5 linked regions of the Mus musculus genome follow. The protein of the gene in region 1 interacts with the protein of each later gene in a pairwise test. Links are inferred from orthologs where the notes say so. Each region holds a gene or a part of one and is shown in the gene's direction. Other genes may lie near its edges. The genes, in order: Birc7, Polr1c, Phf1, Casp9 and Ddx6.

The links.
Region 2: the proteins of Birc7 (region 1) and Polr1c interact in binary tests that used the Homo sapiens proteins (3 or more experiments, as listed by UniProt). The two-hybrid records come from large-scale screens. The link is inferred for Mus musculus from reciprocal best matches to the Homo sapiens genes BIRC7 and POLR1C.
Region 3: the proteins of Birc7 (region 1) and Phf1 interact in binary tests that used the Homo sapiens proteins (3 or more experiments, as listed by UniProt). The two-hybrid records come from large-scale screens. The link is inferred for Mus musculus from reciprocal best matches to the Homo sapiens genes BIRC7 and PHF1.
Region 4: the proteins of Birc7 (region 1) and Casp9 interact in binary tests that used the Homo sapiens proteins (3 or more experiments, as listed by UniProt). The two-hybrid records come from large-scale screens. The link is inferred for Mus musculus from reciprocal best matches to the Homo sapiens genes BIRC7 and CASP9.
Region 5: the proteins of Birc7 (region 1) and Ddx6 interact in a two-hybrid assay, tested with the Homo sapiens proteins (3 studies listed by BioGRID and IntAct). The two-hybrid records come from large-scale screens. The link is inferred for Mus musculus from reciprocal best matches to the Homo sapiens genes BIRC7 and DDX6.

The regions. Positions count from the first base shown.
Region 1 is NC_000068.7:180,927,584-180,931,823, forward strand, and holds the start of Birc7 (baculoviral IAP repeat-containing protein 7 precursor), read left to right. Parts: upstream 1-1,439; 5' UTR 1,440-1,563; coding exon 1,564-1,930; intron 1,931-3,221; coding exon 3,222-3,321; intron 3,322-3,675; coding exon 3,676-3,754; intron 3,755-3,835; coding exon 3,836-3,881; intron 3,882-4,240.
Region 2 is NC_000083.6:46,245,240-46,249,516, reverse strand, and holds the start of Polr1c (DNA-directed RNA polymerases I and III subunit RPAC1), read left to right. Parts: upstream 1-1,471; 5' UTR 1,472-1,553; coding exon 1,554-1,622; intron 1,623-1,716; coding exon 1,717-1,788; intron 1,789-3,302; coding exon 3,303-3,410; intron 3,411-3,768; coding exon 3,769-3,901; intron 3,902-4,277. Other genes in the region: protein YIPF3, read right to left, coding at 232-338, 479-676, 1,189-1,269. UniProt on the Homo sapiens protein: DNA-dependent RNA polymerase catalyzes the transcription of DNA into RNA using the four ribonucleoside triphosphates as substrates.
Region 3 is NC_000083.6:26,931,656-26,935,931, forward strand, and holds the start of Phf1 (PHD finger protein 1), read left to right. Parts: upstream 1-1,471; 5' UTR 1,472-1,879; intron 1,880-2,538; 5' UTR 2,539-2,554; coding exon 2,555-2,713; intron 2,714-2,798; coding exon 2,799-2,880; intron 2,881-2,975; coding exon 2,976-3,071; intron 3,072-3,398; coding exon 3,399-3,499; intron 3,500-3,593; coding exon 3,594-3,742; intron 3,743-3,816; exon of another isoform or gene 3,817-3,884; coding exon 3,885-3,980; intron 3,981-4,094; coding exon 4,095-4,163; intron 4,164-4,263; coding exon 4,264-4,276. Other genes in the region: Kifc5b (kinesin family member C5B), read left to right, coding at 449-493. UniProt on the Homo sapiens protein: Polycomb group (PcG) that specifically binds histone H3 trimethylated at 'Lys-36' (H3K36me3) and recruits the PRC2 complex. Involved in DNA damage response and is recruited at double-strand breaks (DSBs).
Region 4 is NC_000070.6:141,807,104-141,810,614, forward strand, and holds part of Casp9 (caspase-9 isoform 1 precursor), read left to right. Parts: intron 1-11; coding exon 12-159; intron 160-3,511. UniProt on the Homo sapiens protein: Involved in the activation cascade of caspases responsible for apoptosis execution. Binding of caspase-9 to Apaf-1 leads to activation of the protease which then cleaves and activates effector caspases caspase-3 (CASP3) or caspase-7 (CASP7).
Region 5 is NC_000075.6:44,625,387-44,628,897, forward strand, and holds part of Ddx6 (probable ATP-dependent RNA helicase DDX6), read left to right. Parts: intron 1-1,001; coding exon 1,002-1,096; intron 1,097-2,251; coding exon 2,252-2,374; intron 2,375-3,254; coding exon 3,255-3,383; intron 3,384-3,511.

The DNA.
Region 1 (4,240 bases):
TCTCTCTGTTCCTTACAAACTATTATTTCTTATTTTTGAGACAGGGGCTCTCTCTAGCACAGGCTAGCACAGAACTTACTATCTAGCTCAGGTTGGTCTTGAACTCACAAAAATCTTCCTGCTTTATCCCCATGAGTGCTAGGACTGCATGCATGAACAGCCATGCCTATCTTACAATGTCTCACAAGCTCCAACCCCTCACCATGCCTCCCAAGACTCAACCTCTAACTGAGGGACTATTGACAGTTGGCAGCTTCTGGAAAAGGGAGGGTCAGTTTTCTTTAAGGTTGTGGCCCTTGGTAGGTTGCCCATGCTCCTGTGGACATCCCCACACCCATAAGTATATGGACACCACAAACCAGACTCAGTGGGTTATACATTAAAAAAAAAATAAATAAAAGGACATGAAGTTGGAGTGGATTGCTTTTTTTTTTTTTTTTTTTTTTTTGAGACAGGATGTCCTGGGTGTTCTGGAACTAGTTCTGGGGAGGCTGGACTCAAACTCAGAGGTCTGAAATTTTCAAAGAATTAATAAAAATATTATATATATATATATATATAAGCTCCCAATATTAAAAGCTTCACAATCAGTGAAGAGCGACTCAAGGGTAAAGGTTTGAGCAGAAGCCTGGGAATTACAGTGCGAGCTGCAGCAGAGCTGGCCCCTTGATCTTCTCTGCCTCTTCCAGGGGTCCCAAGGACTCTTGTTTTACCAACCTATAGCTGTGGCTTCTCTGGGGTGATGATCCTCCTCTCTGTTCCCTGTTTTTTTGTGTGTGTGTCAGTCGAATCCCTCACCTGGGGCTGGTTAGTGAAGACCAGGTTCTGGGGCAGAGCTCATTTAGGGAGGCAACATTCCATGTGACAGTGCAAATGGAAATGTCTGGCCTGGAACAAATACCATCCAAACCTTGAGCTCCTCCAGACAAAGGCCAGGGCACACCCTACCCTTGATTTGCCTCTAGACTGTCCAGACAGATAAAGAGCAACCTGAGACCAGATGGGTGGACTGACCCTGACTCAGGGCTGAGCCAAGCAGGGACCTCTCCTCAGTGCTGGGGACAAGATGAGCGGGTGATGAGGTCATCCCTGAACATCAGTCAGCACAGGCTTGGTAAGGAAGGATTGGTGGGGTTGCATAGTGTCCTGGACAGCCTAGCTTCCTACCCTGCAGGCCCCTGTCTGGGTCTATCTCCACCCAGAACTAGACCCTAAGTGTCTGGAATCTCTCTCCTCTATTTTGTCCATGTTCATGACCTGTTTCCTGAGGCTTAGGGGATGCCATTGGAGGGGTCCCAAGCTTGGTCCCTCCCCCTATTGAGAGATGCTTTTTGCCTGGTGGCGTACTGCCTTTGTTATGTGCCTGCCAGCAGGCCCCATGACACGCTGCAAAGAGCATGTGGCTGCCCTGGCCTCTCTCAGAAAGTGGCTCATTCCTGGACACCGCCACTGCCTCTGAGCATCTAGCAGCTTGCAGTTAGAAGCAGGAACACCACAGCCTCTGGGAAGGACTAGAGGCAGGAGCTGGAACGGTACAACACCAGGCACATTCCTGGGCTGGTGATGTTCTCACCTGCAGACTTATTCAGAGCTGCTGTCTTTTCCATGGGGCCTGAGAGTAGGGCCAGGGACTCGGTCCGTGGCCCAGAACTAAGCCACAGGGAAGATGGCAGTGGCCGCACACAGGAACAGGATAAACCCCACTGTCCGTGTAACCATGTCCTGGGCCAGGACTGCCTAGATGGGCAGATCTTAGGCCAGCTTCGGCCTCTGTCAGAAGAGGAAGAATCCTCTGGGGCTGCCTTCCTTGGGGAGCCTGCCTTCCCTGAGATGGACTCAGAGGATCTCCGGCTAGCCTCCTTCTACGACTGGCCATCTACTGCAGGGATTCAGCCTGAGCCATTGGCTGCTGCTGGGTTCTTCCACACAGGTAAATGTTGGGGTCTTTTTTACTGTGGTCTGAATGCTACTTAGCACTCTTCCAGGCAAACGGTTTTGCCCATTCTTGCCCTGAGGGAGGAACTAATAAAAGGTACTCCTGTCATCCTTGCCTGGTCAGGGCTAGACCCACTCAAAGCCACTATGAAATTCTGGGCTTATGCTGGCCTTGTTCTGAGGGCCCTTGAGGGGTCTGCTGGCTTGGTGGTTTCACCTGGCTTACACGGCTCTGAGGATTTCTTCAGGGATGCCCAGTCATCAATGCCTTTCAGGTTTGGTAGATAGAGCTGATTAATCCCTTTCATCCCTTAGCCCAAAGCGACAAAACCGGAATCTATTCTACTGGGGCAGGGGCCAGCTTAAGCATCCAGTGCCCATCTTGTAGGTAATCTCTCAGGCTTCCTAAGTACCTGGTTAGTGCAGGGACCAACTCCAGACAAATCCTTTGAATACCTGTTCTAGTTACAAATGTAGACTACTCCTTGAGCTTGGTCTGCTCTCATTCCCAGTAGGGCTCAGGTTCTGGCTCTGACTCTTCCTGGCTGAGGGAAAAGGAATCAGTGAGCCCAGCCGAGCATAGCCAGAGAAATTGTCACCAGTGGGCCTAGCAGGGGAGGAAACAGTCATTCTCCTAGCAACGGCCAGGCAAGAGTCCATACTGATTTAGGACAATCTGACACTGGTTATGAAGGGTCAATGTCTGGAACAGTTAGAGCCCCCTTGAAAAGGAGTCTCTTTGAGGCCAACAGATGTCATGGGTATTTTGTGGACCGTGGGTACCTGCTGTGGGATATGCCTGTAAGCAATCCTGTTTGGAACTTCTGCTCAAGGTCATGAAGGACACATATTCCTATGGCTGGGGGGGGAAGGGCACAGAGCAGAGATGATTGAGGCCTGAGCCACTAAAACCAAGTCTGTCTATAAACTGGTATGGAAGGGGTCACCTCCTTATCCTGTAACTAGAAGTCCTTCTTGGAGGCCCTGACACTCCCAGGCTACAGATGCTCCAAGCCTTTGGCTCAACCCTACCCACATGCTCTGAGAACAACACAAATGCTAGCTCGACCTTTCTGGAATATTCTGAAGCCCTCCTGACACATGCCCCAGGGCCATTGTCTTTATTTGCCTTTGAGGCAAGAGAGGTGTCCATGTGCCTTGCTCCCTTCTTGTTAACCTGCTGGCAGATTCTAGTCCTGCCTGTCTAAGCTTTGATGGTCATGGAGGGACACCCTGGGGTTGCCAACTAGGTGGGGCTACCAGCTATGTGTCTCTGCCATACCTAGGCCAGCAGGACAAGGTGAGATGTTTCTTCTGCTATGGGGGTCTACAGAGCTGGGAGCGTGGGGATGACCCCTGGACAGAGCATGCCCGATGGTTTCCCAGGTAAGGGCCCTGTGGGCTACTGCAGTTCTGACTAATGAGAAGGGTCCCAAAGAACTCTGTATAGCCTTCCCACCTCCCATGTTTCTGAGACATCAGGATCTCTCTAGGGCTGCTAGGGTAGGCACTCCCCTGTTGCTGCTATCCTTTCCAGGTGCACACCTAGGTATTCGGAGCCCAACTCCAGACTAGCCTTACTAGCAGGTGCCCATGGGGATACAGCCCTGACTACCTGTCACAGGAAGTAATGGGTTCCATGGGCACAGAAGGCATGCCAAATCCCAAAGGCTTGCAGGGCTCGAATGTGACAGTGGGGCTCTAAGAGTCCAGTCCTGTCTTCTGAGCTCTCTTCTCCAGGTGTCAGTTCCTGCTACGGTCAAAAGGAAGGGACTTTGTGGAAAGAATCCAGACCTACACCCCTTTGCTGGGATCCTGGGTAAGTCCATCTGTCCTCAGGACCCAGGTGGGCTGGCAGTCTCTGCTTTGCTTACTTAAGGCACCAATGGCTCTCTAACAGGATCAGCGAGAAGAACCAGAAGATGCAGTCTCTGCCACTCCCTCAGGTGAGAGAGCCTAATAGCCTTTGCTGTTTAGTTGGTGTTTGCAGCCTGCACGTAGGTCAGACTGTTGAGTGTCTCCACCTGCCAGTCAGCAGAGAGGGTGGGGTCTGTGCCCACATGTTGTGTTCAAGGTAGTGAATCCCCTTGCTCCTAATGAGAAGGCTGCTAAAGACACCAGCCAAACCTGGGCATGTAGTTGTGTGTGTGCTAGGCTATGGTTCTGCTGGGTACGAGCCACAACAGCAGCTGCTGCTTCTCCTTCTCTCTTCTCTTCTCCTTCTCCTTTCTCCTTTCTCCTTTCTCCTTTCTCCTTTCTCCTTTCTCCTTTCTCCTCCTCCTCCTTCTTCTCCTTATGGTTTTTT
Region 2 (4,277 bases), on another chromosome or scaffold:
TGCCATTTAAAGGATGGTGGTGTGGAGGGAAGCGGGGTAGGAGGGAAGAGGGGTTAGCGCACTTGAGGGGTACCTAGCCAACTGTACCTTTCACCAAGTATTCACAACATGTTCAGTTCAGTAATGGGGTTGCAAGTAGGGGAGTCCACCAGAGCTCAGGGCTCTGAGTCTGAGTGAAGTCTGGATGAGGGTCTAGATGTGAGGACAGATGTCTCAGAGAAGGCGCCTCACCTGCTTCGGACCTGGGCAGGCTCCACATCAAAGTAGGGTCTGAGGATGTCAATGTTGGCATACAAGCTGAAGGCCCTGGAAGCCTGTCTCTTCCCTGCCTGCCACATCTGAAGGGAAATGGGTATGATGAGACTCTTGGCTCTAGATTGTTATTCAGTCTCGGCGAGATTTACGTGTGGGTCTAAGTGGAAAACCTCGATCAATTTAGGACATGCATAGGTCCTTTTTTTTTTCCCCATTGGCTTACCTGATCTGCTACCTGCCGGCTCAGTTGTCCTTTAAAGCCTTTCATGCCAAGAAACTCCCCATCCTCTTCTTCTGCAGCAGCTGCATCAGCATCTACTTCTTCCTCCCGCAGGCGCTGGTGCAGCTCACCCATGTCCTCGAAGCTGGAGCCTGAGGTATCGTCCATGTTCTCCATATCAATCACAGCCGAACCCCCACCCTGTGAAGACAACGGCTCGGAGAGTGAGGGGCCCTTCCATTGCATCCTCCCCGTTCTCCGCTCAGCTGACAACTTGAGGCTTTGATCTTCCACTGCCGAGGACATGGCTTGGAACTGCCACTCTTTCAGTGGTGGCAACTCTTGGTCGCGTCACTTTTGTGGTCCTGGAAACCCTACTATTTATTTTCAATCCACGTTGTTTTCCTACTTTCCACCTCAAAGCTCCAAAGAGTTGCAAAAGAGCCCATCTGCCATTCCCAATTCTCAAACAAGCCTATTTTTAGGGGGTGCCAGTGGATCCTAGCCTCCAGCCCCCACAGAGAGCCGAGGCCCGCGGGAGCCCTAGTTTGTCCCTTTCACGCCAGCACAAGAGCTACACCCTTCCCCGGGAAGACTCAAAGGGGACAGGCTGCGTTTCAGCGGAGCCGACCTCTAGGCCCCGCGAGAGAGAACAGCAGCCACCGTCCGGACGCCGCCAGCCCGGGGCTGCTGGCAGCAGGCGCGCTCCATACCTGGATGTTTTCTTCGAAGCCTCCCCATTCCGGGCCAGCACCATTTCGGACGCCGCTGGCCGGCGCCGCCGGAGTCGCCATGTCCCTCGAGGCTTCCCGTCGCTGGAGCACGCGCGCGTGGGAAGAGCGTGCGACCCGGGTCCGAGGGAGGGAGAGGTTCAGAGGGGCGACCGCCCGGGCAAGGTGGGGATCCGCCGGGACGCCGAAGGGAGAAACCCGGATGTTTGGCCCCACTTGACGTCCGGAAGTGAAGGACGTGGACAGAGGCGGGGCAAGATCTCGCGACATTCAAGATTGCGGGAGCCCGAGCGTTGCTGCGGAGACGCAGGCGCGGACTCGCCTCCTTTTACAGCGAGTGGCGGAAGATGGCGGCGGCTCAGGCGGTGGAGGAGATGCGGACTCGCGTGGTTCTCGGAGAGTTTGGGGTTCGCAATGTAAGAGATCGGGGCGCGGGAAGGATGAGGGCGGCACGGGGAAGTAGAGGCCTGGTGTGAAGGCTGGCCACACTGCCCTTTCTGTTGGCTCTAGGTCCACACCACGGACTTTCCCGGTAACTACGCCGGTTATGATGATGCCTGGGACCAGAACCGCTTCGAGAAGGTGGGTAGAGCTGAAGGTGCCCAGTCGGCCCGAGGGGCCAGACCTCGCAGGTTGGGGTGGGGGTCGCTGTTTCCATACAACACGCTTGAGCTCCATGGACGGGTCAGACACGGTGGTTGCTCTCGGTGGGATAATGGACCACACAGACAAGTTATTCCAGAATAGTAAGATAGCGGTGAAGATGGCTGGGATATGGTCAGGAATCATTGATGCACTGAATCCAGCTAACTGAAGGGACGTAGTTAAAGGTCAGTGAAGGGAATGGCATTTGAATTAAGCTTTGAACTATGAATAAAAGTTGAGTAGTGAAGGCCTGATTGGAGCTTCATTATATATGATTTTTTTAAAATTCACTTTGAAACTGTTTCTGTTTAGCCCTGGCACTCTCTCTATAGTCCAGGCTGGACTTGAACTCAGCCATCTACCTGCTTCTGTCTCTGCCTCCCATGCACTGGGATTAAAGGCATGAGCCACCACGCCCAATTTAGAATTTTTGAGTAGACTGATAACATTTTGCAATCTTGATAGCCAGGAGGGAATGAATTCTGGTGAATCTGCCAGCTAGTGTATGCAGGCTGAAATTGGGGGCATAGATGAACTCCAGACAGTACTAACGGAGTAAGGCAGGGAGAACTAGACGATTTGCACCAGTGCTCTGGGGAGGCAGTGTGTGAGAGAAAGGACTTTGTAACTTGAGGACCCTAAAACTTTCTTGATATGCGTGTTTGCCTGCATGTGTATTTGTGCACCACTGTGTGTTAGTGATCCCTGCAGTGTGAGGAGAATGTTAGGTCCCACCAGGTGCTGGGAACCAAACCCAGTTCTTCTGCAAGGGCAGTTAAGTGCTCTTAATAGCTGAGCCATTTCTCCAGTGGCACTGGGGAACTGTTGCTGGCTGTGTCGTTTGCCAAGCAGGAGAACAAGAATGAGGGTACACTCAGGTGCCTGCTTGTGAAGTCTATGTGCTTGCTTGAGCCAGGAGCATGGTGGAGGTCAGCCAGGGGATTAGAACCTAGGAGACAGGAACGTTTACTGTGTGGGTGGAAGGGGAAATTTAGAAAGAAGAGCAGATAAGGAAATTGGTGTTCAAAATCCAAGGGAATGTAGTTGAGAAAAGTAGGTATTAAAAAATAACGACAACAGACATGCAAGTATCAAACGGTCTAAGTAGTGTGGGAAGTTCTGCTTTTTGTATAGTAACTTCTCTGGGTGGTTTGTGGAAAATCTGGGAAGATTGGGCATAGTGGCGCACACCTTTAATCCCAGTACTTGGTAGGCAGAGGTAGGTGGATCTTTTGAGTTTGAGGCCAGCCTGGTCTACAGAGTTCCAGGACAGCCAGGACTACATGGAGAAACCTGGCCTTGGAAAAACCTAAAAAACAAGAAACACACAGCCTTGCCCCCAAGAACAGGACTGGAGACAAAATGTCTACTGAGCACCATGACTTTAGGGTGAGGGGATAGTGCAGGGTAGGAGCCAGGCAGGAGTCATGCAGGAGCTTCCCTCCTTCTAGAATTTCCGTGTGGACGTGGTGCAAATGGATGAAGACACGCTGGAGTTCGACATGGTGGGGATTGATGCTGCCATCGCCAATGCTTTCCGGAGAATCCTGTTAGCTGAGGTATTAGAGGACGTGGGCTGGAGGGTAGAAATTGTATCAATTTGTAGACGCTTTTCTCAAAGCCATCCCTCTGGGGCAGGTAGGGTGGTTCACACCTATGACAGTCTGGGCTACATAGTAAACATTGTATCAAGAATCTGAGCCACACGCCTTTAGTCCCAGCACCCCAGCACTCGGGAGGCAGAGGCAGGTGGATCTCTGAGTTCCAGGCCAGCCAGGGCTATACAGAGAAACCCTGTCTCAAAAAACCAAAAAAAAAAAAAAGAATCTGAAGGGCAAAATGAAAAAGTGCTGCCTCTTCCTTTTCCAGGCAGGGGGATGGGTGGAGGTCAGTTGTCTGCTTTGCCTCCTTGGGCAGGTGCCGACAATGGCCGTGGAGAAGGTCTTGGTGTATAACAACACGTCCATAGTCCAGGATGAGATCCTTGCTCACCGCCTGGGGCTCATCCCCATCCTCGCTGATCCTCGTCTCTTTGAATATCGGAACCAAGGTGAGGCTGAGAGCTTGGGATTATGAGTTAGGCAGAACTGACCTGGAATGCATGGGCTCAGGTCCCAGGCCTACTGCTGGGGCTTTAGTTGGCATCTTGTACATCTGCCTTCGCCTGGGAGAACAGCTGTCCCCACCCCACCTCTAGTCTCACTGTGTACACCCTCGGAACACAGCGCTAGCAGCACTCAGGCTCTCTCCACCTTTACATTCTTCCTGGGGATTGAACTTGGGTCTTCAGGTTGGAGCAAGCATGCACCCTCACTCTGTGAGCCTTCTTGTCAGCCTGGTATTAGAGTTGATATGGCCAGGCACGGTGGTGGACAGCTTTACTCCAAGCACTGGCAGAGGCAGGCAGATGTGTCCTGAGTTCAAGG
Region 3 (4,276 bases), on another chromosome or scaffold:
TTAGGCCATAATGGAGTGCTGTTTACTGCTCGCTCCTCTTGGCTTCCTCAGCCGGTTTTCTTACCTCATTGGGGAACCACCTTTTCAGGGGTGGCACTGGCCCACACTAGGGTTGGGTCCTCCAACATCAATCATTGATTAAGAAAAGGCTTGCTCACAGGCCAATCTGATGGGATATTTTCTCAATTGAGGTCCCCTCTTCTCAAATGAGGAGTAGCCGGTGTCATGTTGACATAAAAACTAGCCAGCACTATAAAGCTTCGTCTTTTCAGTCCGGTCTCTTCCAGGCTTAGTGGACATAGCATCACCATCCCTCCAGGGGGCAGGCTGGACCTGCTTCCATAACAGAGACTTCAGAGATTCAGATGTGGGCCCAGCACGGGGCAGAGTGGGAAGGCTTCTCATCTGTAACCCTTGACCTTGTGTGACCCTGTTTATCTGTCCACAGGTGAACCAGTGTGTCATTGGTACTGCTCAGGCTAATAAGAAGTGAAGTCGGATCCAGAGCCCTTGCAAGCCAGTGCGCATGCGTCTCTGTTTTAGTGTGTATTTATTCGGTGGGGGTGGGTGGGAGTTGAGACATGATATTACTGGGTATTTATTATGTAATAAAGAATAATCTTTTGTATGTTAATCCTTTTCTTAATCTTAGATTTTAAAAAATTGTGTGCAGTTGTTTTGCCTGAGTGTATATGCATGCACCATGTGCATGTCTCCTGCTCCAGTGAGTTCAGAACAGGGCTTCAGGTCCTTCAAGAACTGGGATTATGGAATACATGTGGGTCCTCTGCAAAATCAGTCAGTGCTCTTAACCGCCCAGCCATCTTCCCAGCCCGGCCCTTGTTACAGCTCTAAACGGTTTTATTAACTTAACGGTTTTAGCTGCCAAAGGAAGGTATTGTAAATAAATACTGTAAGCACGTAGAAATGTCCATTGTGATGTGTTTGCAGAGTGAGGCTATGGGCTTTCACTTGGTGGGGCACACTTTGCCGTCCTGATGCCTCTTCTCTACCCTTCGGCACTGGGCCCTCTTAACAATTTCTTAGGACTGCCAGGCCCCAGCCCCAGCCCAGAACAGGAATGCTCTTGTCTGGTGTGACTGCCAGTGCACTCCACAATCTCTTTCTTTCCCTGCCCACCGGTTCGAACCATGGTTCCGTGCCGCCTAGTGCCTATTGGCTGGTGTGGGCACGTCACTAACTCAGTACTAGTTCCAAATAGCCCCTTGTCCTTTCCCTCCCAGGAGGAGCAAACCTACACCAGTGCTCTCGCGGCCGGAGGAGTGGCCGTGTGCCCAGGTGCGGCGCACAGGCGGGGTTACGCGTGCGCAGAAGGGCGGGGCGACAGGCAGCGTGAATGGGGAGGGCGGTGCCGCGTGCGGAGGCGGAGCTTGGAGTGGCCACGGGGGCGGGGCAGCTAACGGATGTGGCATGGGGCGGGGCCCGGCCCTGACCTGCAGGCTAGCTGCCAAGAAGGTTATTTCCTGCTGACCCAGAGCAAGCCTCCCATCCGAAAAAGGGGCTGCAGGGATTTCCTCGACCTCCGCGACCGGCCGCGCCCCCAACAGCGCAGCGCCCTCCGGGCCCGCTGGAGGTGAGGGAGGTGCTGCCTGCCCGTCCCTCTGTCGTCTCCTCCCCCTGGTGCTCCCCACCCTCCACTCTCCTCCCTCCTTCTGTCGACTCCTCCTGCCGCTGCTGCTGCTTTGGCTGCTGCGTCATACGCCCCAGAGCCGCCAGGACGGAGGGGCTGGGCCCGGGGACCCCCTGGCCTCCGCCTGCACGCCCCCCGGCGCTCACACTCAGTCTTCCCGCACCGGAGACTCATCCAGGTCTCTTGAGTCTGACCCTACCTGGCTTCCAGCTGCCCCGGCTGTCACCGGTAAGGAGGAGGCGGGAGGCCTGGAGAGGGGGGCAGGGAGCTGGGGGTCGGTGAGGAAGAAGGGTTGGAGAGCCTCCTGGTCTCAGCTTAGGGTCTGTGCTGGGGCGACTCAAGTCCCTCCTTGGACTGACAGTGTAGGGGAGTAGAGACTTGGACAGGGACACGCCCCCCTCTTGGGGCACTCAGGGAAGTTATCTAATCCCGGGTCAGAGAGCCCCAAATTTGAGGGTGACCTAACATCACCTGGCACCAGGGTGGTGGTTCTAAATAAGACACACAGGCCTGGGGAGGCAGCTGTTTCTACTCGGGAAACGTCTTCAGAAAAGCTCCCAAAACATCTCTGGGCAACAGATTGCCCCATTTAGGATCCCTGTAAACAGCTGGGCAAGGTGAAGCTAAGCGGTAACCTTGATTCCGCAAAGATCATTTCACCTGAGTCCCTAGGAGCTGGGAAACTACAAAACGAGGCAGGGGAGATGGAAAAGAGTAGAGTCGAGAAGCTGACCAGAGCCACCCACCTTTATAGGGCTCAGGATTAGAAGACTGGGGCGTTGGAGCTGCTCCACCAGGAACAGGGTTTCTTTATCCATAAGAGAAAACAACGAGCTCAGGGAAACTTTCTCAGCACCCATAACTCTAACCATCCTATCTTGGAATAGGCCCCCCCAGGATGCAATGGCGCAGCTCCCCCGGCTGAGCCGTTTGGGTGCCCCCTCTCTCTGGGATCCAGCTTCCCCTGCTCCCACCTCAGGCCCCAGACCTCGGCTTTGGGAAGGCCAAGATGTGCTGGCCAGATGGACTGATGGGCTGCTGTACTTGGGTACCATCAAAAAGGTAAGACCCACCTCTGATCTCACTGCCTTCCCAGTCTCCAGTCAGTTCTCATTCCCATTTTAGCATCACTGGGCACCCATTCCAGGTGGACAGTGCTCGAGAGGTGTGTCTGGTCCAGTTTGAGGACGATTCCCAGTTTCTGGTTCTATGGAAGGATATCAGCCCAGGTGAGACCTTCAGACTGAAGCCTGTGACAGCAGAAGCTGGAGTGGGTGGGGACACTGGTTGTTGGTAGGCCTCCTGACACTTTGTTCCCTCACAGCTGCCCTCCCTGGGGAGGAGCTGCTCTGTTGTGTGTGTCGCTCTGAGACCGTGGTACCTGGGAACCGGCTGGTCAGCTGTGAGAAGTGTCGCCATGGTGAGAGGCCAGGATACTTAGGTGGTGCAGTCTGCCCTGGGTCTTCTGGGTTGCCACTAGCCCTGCCTTATAGCATGAGTTATGTCTCCTGTCCTGGCCAGTCTTCACCCTGTCACCACATCTCTCAGAACAGGGCGAGGGAGCCATAGATCAGGTGACCCAGGCCATGCAAAGCTGAGGGGCTTACATTACCTTTCTTAACCGTGCTTCCTTGGGCTAGGCCCTCAGCTGTGAGAAGCTTGTTGACTCACCTGCAGTGTCAGGATAACACACACAGCAGGACTTAGATGCACACAGTGGTCTACCCTCAACATTGTCCTTATTCAGCTTATCACCAGGACTGTCACGTTCCCAGGGCCCCGGCCCCTGGAGAAGGAGAGGGCGCATCCTGGGTATGCCGCCAGTGTGTCTTTGCAATCGCCACTAAGGTAAAGGTGCCTCTCTGCCCCTGTGTGGGAAGCTCCTGTGGTCTCTCCTCCGTTCCTGCCTCTCTGAGGTCTCCATCTGTCTGTCCCTCTGCAGAGGGGAGGCGCACTGAAGAAAGGTCCCTATGCCCGGGCCATGCTGGGCATGAAGCTCTCCCTGCCATACGGATTAAAAGGGCTGGACTGGGATGCTGGACATTTGAGCAACAGACAGCAGAGCTACTGCTACTGTGGAGGCCCTGGAGAGTGAGTGGAGAGGGTGTTGTCAAGCTATGGGATGGGGGTTGTTGTGGTGGCAGAGCCCGGGAAAATGGGTGAACAGGGGGCGAGGGGGCCCTGTGGTTTCAAGAAGGCTGTCTGAGGGCCACAAGCGCTGTCTCCCCTCCAGGTGGAACCTGAAAATGCTGCAGTGCCGGAGCTGCCTCCAGTGGTTCCATGAGGCCTGCACCCAGTGTCTGAGCAAGCCCCTCCTCTACGGAGACAGGTGAGACAGGACATGCACGCATGCTCGGGAGTCCACCTGTGCTCTCCCGCAGTCCTCTGCAGCCGGGGTCAGAGGGCTGAATGAGGTGCATCCTCTGTCCTGGCCCATGTGCAGATTCTATGAATTTGAGTGCTGTGTGTGCCGGGGCGGCCCTGAGAAGGTCCGGAGGTTACAGCTTCGCTGGTGAGATGGGTTGTGATTCATTTCTGTTGTCCACCATGTTACCCTAATGACCCCTGATTTTGATAGCGCCGATGCTGCTGACAATTCCATGCTCCTCCAGGGTGGATGTGGCC
Region 4 (3,511 bases), on another chromosome or scaffold:
TTGTCCCCTAGGCCAGCCACCTCCAGTTCCCGGGTGCTGTCTATGGGACAGATGGATGCTCCGTGTCCATTGAGAAAATTGTGAATATCTTCAACGGGAGCGGCTGCCCCAGCCTGGGAGGGAAGCCCAAGCTCTTCTTCATCCAGGCCTGCGGTGGTGGTGAGTGGCCTGGAGCCCGCTGGGAGTAGGGCTTGCAGGAAACCAGGATAACCCCACGTTAGCCCCTCACTGGGTCAGTGGGCTTCTCTACACATCTCTGGTATCCATACAGCAGGACTCACTCCTTGCCACCACAGGCCCAGCACCATCAGACAGTTGGGTACTGTGACATCAGTGGTTAGTATAATCCTGATCACTTCAGTCCTAGAATTTCAGTAAAAAACTGCAGGGCAGGGGAGACCACTCCATCTGTAAGGTGCTCGCCATGAAAGCGTGGAGCTCTTGAGTCTGAGCCAGGCACCATGGTGCCCACCTGTAATCCCACGGCTAGGCAGGTAGAGGTAATGGTCCCCAAAATGCATGTGCACACATGTGCACTCGCACACATGCTAACATTAACACACACACACACACACACACACACACACACACACACACACACACACTCAGAGCAAAGGAGAGCGTAAAACGACTCTTCAGTTTGCCTTGGCACCTTCCCCTGACCTCTGACATTTAGTTAAGACCCCATTTCTACTGTCCCAGGGAAAGTGCACTGAGTGTCGAGGAGAAACTAAAGAATTTAACTCTTGGAACTCCCAGGAGCCCAAGGATCTGAGGGACATTGAGGTTTTGCTCTATGCTTGGTGGTGTAATGTGTTTTCTGTCACTAGAACTGAATACCACGGGCTCGGGAATACATAAGGGAAGGAGGTTTACCACCTCACCATCTAGAAACTGAAAATACAAAATCATGGTGCTGGCTCCAGTGAGGGCTTCTCGAATTCTTGTCGGATTTCAATGTGGTGGACAGCTTCAAGTGTTAGCTGCTCTTCTTGCCACCACCTCCTGCTACCACCTCCTCCCTCCTTCTCCCCTCCTTCTCAATGACTTCTAAGAGACATCACCTTTGAATTTGAACTTCTGTACTTACAAGATCACTGTAAATAGCCATGCCTGGGTAACACCTTTATTTCATACCTCTGACTTGCAAGGGTGTGGTCAAGATGTGGTGATGGACATATTATTATTATCATTATTATTAGTATTATTATTATTATTAATTTACATTCCAAGTATTGCCCTACAAAGACTTATTTCCTTTGCATATGTGAGTGCTCTATCTGCATGTACACTTGCATACCAGAAGAGGCTTCTGATCCCAGTTTAGATGGTTGTGAAGCAACATGTGGTTGCTGGCTGGGAATTGAACTCAGGACCTCTGGAAGAACAGTGTTCTTACACACTGAGCCATTTCTCCAGCCCACACATTTAATCCCAGCACACAGAAGGTAGAGACTGGTGGACCTCTGTGAGTTCAGTGCCAGCCTACTCTTCATAGTGAATTTCAGGCCAACTAGAGCTGTACAGTAAGACCCTATGGCTTAGTTAGGGTTTCACTGCTGAGAAGAGACTCATGGCAAAGGCAGCTTTCATAAGGGACAACAGTTAACTGGGGCAGGCTTACAGGTCCTCAGGTTCAGTCCATTAACATCATAGCAGGAAGCATGGCATCGTCCAGGCAGATATGGTGCTGGAGACAGATATGGAGCTGAGGGCTCTGCATTTTGATCCAACTGCAGCCAGAAGAGACTCTCAGGCAGCTAGGAGGAGGGTCTCTTACATACCCGGCAGAGCTTCAAAGCCCACCCCCACAATTATGCACTTCATCCAGCAAAGCCACACCTGCTCTAACATCTCCTAATAGTGCCACTTCCCACAGGCCAGGTATATTCACCACAGCCTATCTCAAAAATAAATGAATAAATAATTAAATGCCCATCTCAAAATAAATAAATAAGGTGCATGCCTTTGATCTTAGCACTTTGGAGGCAGGGGCAGGCAGGTCTCTGAGTTTGAGGCCAGCCTGGTCTACAGAAGTTCTAGGACAGCCAAGGCTACACAGAGAAACTGCCTTGAAAACCCCAAACCAACACAAATCAAGCCAAAACCAGAAGACAAAACAACCCTGATATCCCACATACTCCCTCTCCAGTACTCCCAGGGATCAGGGGTGCCCCGCATGTCCCCCTTGTTCAGTGCTGTTATCTCTCATACTGACCTTAGGGAGAAAGCGGCTGTACCCCTACAGCCATGGAGATGTCCTCTTGTTCACCCAATTTCTGCTCTGAGATGATGCTCCAACCCCAAACCCTGAAAGTCGAAGAGGGAACAAGAAACAGAGCTGAGTAGGTGCCAGCTCCCAGGACGGGGCTGCATGCTTGTCACCTCACCCAGTCTCCCCACCCCCAAACCCCACCCTGTTTTCATAAGCCAGTAGGATTTTGGTCCCACACACATGAACAGGGCTACTCTTTAGACTTCTTGGCAAGGTCATCAAAGCCTTTGATGACCTGGACCCTGCCGCTGTGCCTGCCCTCGCTTTCCTCAGCACAGCCTTCTCAAAGCGCCCAGTGTGTTCACCTGCTGAGCCACCTCTGTAGCTCCCAATTCTTCCTGTCCCCCTGCTTACAATTTATTGCCATTGCCTCCAGGAAGTCTTGCCCAGTGCTCCCTTCCTTGACAAGGCTAATCCCAGCATTTGGGAAGCAGAAGCAGAAGGGTCTCTGTGAGTTCCAGGCTCCGTAGTCTTCATAGTGAGTCCCAGGACAGCCAGAGCTATCGAGAGAGACCAAACAATAGTTTCAGGCTAACCTGGGCTACATGAGATCCTGTCTACCCTCCAAAATTGTTCCCTCTTGTGGAATTTGTCTAGCTTTGTCTTAACCAGGAAGTACGGCCTGCTGTTTAATGGTGTTGCCACATGGTGGTGCCATGTCACCTACGAACCTAAGCAGTGACATCTGCTCTCAGGCCTGGCTGGTATCCTGTACACACACATGCAGATGTCACAGGCAGATGCCAGCCCAGGATTTTGGTGGCTCTATTGTTGCTGTTTTCAATGTCACCATTTTCGTTTGAAGGGCAACACATTACCTACCCTTTGTTAAGTGGTGGCCTAGAACCAGGTTAGAAAACGGTCCCCCCAGAGCCAGCAATGGGTGTGGTGTTGTGTGTGTGTTACACAGTGTGACACTCTTGGCCAGAGCCCAGCATGGCTCAGACAGGTCCTGCTGTCAATCCTGGGGAGAGTCCTCTTCAGAATTTTAGAGTTTAGTCGGAGAAGGCAGAGAGCAGCCACAGTCAGCCACAGCCGCTAAGGGCTGGCATTGCTGAGGGGACGTTCTGCCTCCTGCTGTATGTTGTTACAGGGGACCAGACTTGCATGTAGACAGGTTTATCCTTATCTGTGGCTCGGCTTCACATGCAGTTTGCAGACAGAGGATGACACATGGATACACATGTGGCTAATGTCCTTCTCTGACTCGTTCTCCTGCTTTCTTGTGTCACTTCC
Region 5 (3,511 bases), on another chromosome or scaffold:
CTAAAAGGTTATTCAGCCTTATTAGTAGTTTTGGTTTTTGTTTTCCTTGACAAGGTCTCTCTATGTAGACCAGGCTGTCCTCAAACCTCCAACTCACAGAGACCTCTCTGCCTCTGCCTCTGGAATTCTGGGATTATTTTTTAGTATTGTTTAATGTAGTTCAGAGTACCATATTTATATTAACTGTTCTAAATTTCAAGGCAAAAAAGTATTAGTTATGAGTGATGGATATTTGTGGAAAGTAGGCTGTTTTATAACATAAGTGTACAATATATATGACAGTATATTTCAGGTTATAAACTTAGATTTTCAAGTACTTTGATAAATATAAAATTGTATATATGCAAAGTTGTTTACTCTGAAAAAGAAGGCAAATTTAAATATTTCAGGAGATTGGTTAGATTCAGTGAGCCTGAATGGAGTTTCACAGTCAGTAAAGATTTACGTATTGAGTTTTTATGAAGGGCTGTTCACTGTATAATGCTGGGTGAAGAACAGTAACAAAATAGCAAGAGTCAGGTTTTACTCAGAATGTTAATATATATTAGTATTTGGTTATTTAGCTATATTTTTTAACTTGCACAATTTTTGGTTTAGTGATCAGTCTTTTTTTCCCCTTAAAACAGTCTGAGCAGCATTGCCCAGATTGAAGACATGTCTTTTGTATGCGAAACCCTGTATTCTGGCTGTTATTTCTTGCAGATTGTCATAAGATAAAAGTTGTATGCCTTTAGTTGGAATTAGTAATTTGGGAAATTAGCCCATTTATTGAAGAGTTGAAACAAGTATTGTCTACCTGCTGTAAGAAGAGATGAAAATATACAGCCCAAAATACATCTTTGTACCTTTTGGTATTAATTTGTACCTCTATAAATATTATCTATGATGCTAAATATATACTATAAAGTTACAAGTTTTTTTTTTTTTCCGTCCTAGGTAAAATTAACAAGAGAGTATATATTTTCTGAATCTTTTTTATTTTTCCCTGTAAATCTTTGTAGTGCATGTGGTGATCGCTACCCCTGGCAGGATCCTGGATCTCATCAAGAAAGGCGTGGCAAAGGTTGACCATGTCCAGATGATAGTGCTAGATGAGGTAATGTTCCTGACTGTCCTCCTCTGAGCTCAGCTCACACCCTGTCCTGGATACGTGTGATTAGAAATAACCAAGCCAAGTTCGTTTTATGTCTTTCTATTCAGTGTTAACATTTTAAAAGCATGTAAGCTAAGCTAAGATAGTTCTTAACCCTACCCTTTGTTTTACATCTGCTTCTTTATATTGTTTGGTTCATGTGTGTCTGAAATTTGTTACTTCCTTAGGTTATAACCTAATATGAATTCCTTTTAAGAAATTACTCGACTGAAGCCAAATGTTTTACCTGGGAGGTAGAGTCAGATGTCTGTCTTGAATTTGAGGACTGCATAGTAAGTTTCAGGCCAGTCAGGACTACAAAGTGAGACTCTGTCTTAAAAATAAAAAACTACTCCTCTGTGTCTCTCGGGTGTAGCAGTGCTATATGCATTTAGTGTGTCACTATTAGTGTTTTGGTATACAGCTATTTTCCTTTTCTGTTTTGTTTTAGATTACTAGTTTCTGGCTTTTCACTAATGAGGAATAACACTGACTATTATATATTGAGTACATAATGTGATATTTAGTCTGATAAGATATAGGTTGTTATGGGAGTGTGGATAACCTGTGTCCATAGTTGAGGACATTGAAACATGGCTAAGTGGTACCCAGTACAGCTAACGAGTAAAACATTTCAGCCCAAATGGCCTTGGATTTATCGTCCTGTTTCTTCTACCTTCTGAGAGTAAGGTTTATGCCAACCACATCTAGCTCAAAACACATTTTTGACCAATATACTCTATTATCTCTTTAATGGGGATCACATTTAAATTCTGTCAAAGAAAAGGATTTTGACAGTCTACATATTTTTTTCCTTAGGGATTATAGCCTCTGCTTTAAGACAGATTCATAATGTAGCCCAGGCTGACCTCAGCTTCTCACTTCTCTCCCAGGTCAGCCACTCAGGTGCTGAGCTTACAGGCATATGCTACCACGCTAGGCTCCTCCCCCTTATGCACTGCTAGGGGTTGTCCTGGTAACATTGTCTACATTAGAGTCTTAGGGTTATAGCCAGGAGAAGCCTGTGTGTAGGTTGTGCATTGCCCTTTGCTTATATTGCTCTCCAAAACTTTTAATGCCTTATTCTTTTTTAAAAGTAACTTTTTTTTTGTATTACAGGCAGATAAATTGTTGTCACAGGATTTTGTGCAGATAATGGAGGATATTATTCTCACACTACCTAAAAATAGGCAGATTTTACTATACTCCGCTACTTTCCCTCTTAGTGTACAAAAGTTTATGGTGAGTATTAGCTCTGTACCTGGCATCAGTGCTGTCATGGTACTGAGTGTGCTTTTACCTGTAATTACATTGTATTATCAGAATATATGTTATTGCAAGGTTTCGGATTTGTTTTTTTTAATATGGTCAATAAGATTTGGGCATGGATTTAGTTTTTTGAGACAGGGTCTCACTGTGTAGCCCTGGCCAGTATGCTAGCTTCAAATTCACAGAGGTCTCTGTCTCCCAAGTACTGGGATTAAAAATATGTATGTGCACTTTTTTTTTTTTTAACTTAAATGACCTCTACTTGTTCTGAGGCTAGCCTGGTTTACATGAGTTCCATGCCATCTGTCCATCCGTCTGTCAGTTGGTCTGTTTTTCTCTTTTTTTTCTTGGTTTTGATTTTTGGAGACAGTTTTGGGGGTTTTTTTGTTTGTTTGTTTTTGTTTTTGTTTTTTTTCCGAGACAGGGATTCTCTCTATAGCTTTGGCTGTCCTGAAACTCACTCTGTAGACCAGACTGGCCTGGAACTCAGAAATCTGCCTGCTTCTGCCTCCCTTGGAGACAGTTTCTATGTGTAGTGCTGGCTGGCCATGAGACCCTGCTTCAAAATGAGAGGAGTTGTGATTTTTTTTTTTTAACTCTGTGCCAAGGTGACATATCCCATCGTAAGTTGGTTATAGCTCATCTCTGTGAGGTGCATTTGAATCTGAGGTCTACCATTTTAGTATAACTTATTTTATGAATACTTGGTTTTGAAAAGAGATTCATCCTTTAGAGCAAGAGACAAAATAAAAAACCAAAAAAAAAAGGTATAAACTTGGGGCAAGAAATGGGAGCTCTTGCCTTAGCATGCCTGAAAGTCTTTACTTAATGACTGTGTTCCCTCCCACTCCAGAATTCCCATCTGCAAAAACCCTACGAGATAAACCTGATGGAGGAACTAACTCTGAAAGGAGTAACTCAGTACTACGCATATGTAACGGAGCGCCAAAAAGTGCACTGCCTCAATACACTTTTCTCCAGGGTAAGTAGTGGGCTTTTGTGCTGAGTCCTGTCCTTCACTAATTCCTAGCAAGTTGGACAATTAGATCATTTTCCCTTTCCTTTCCTTTCCTTTCCTTTCCTTTCCTTTCCTTTCCTTTCCTTTCCTTT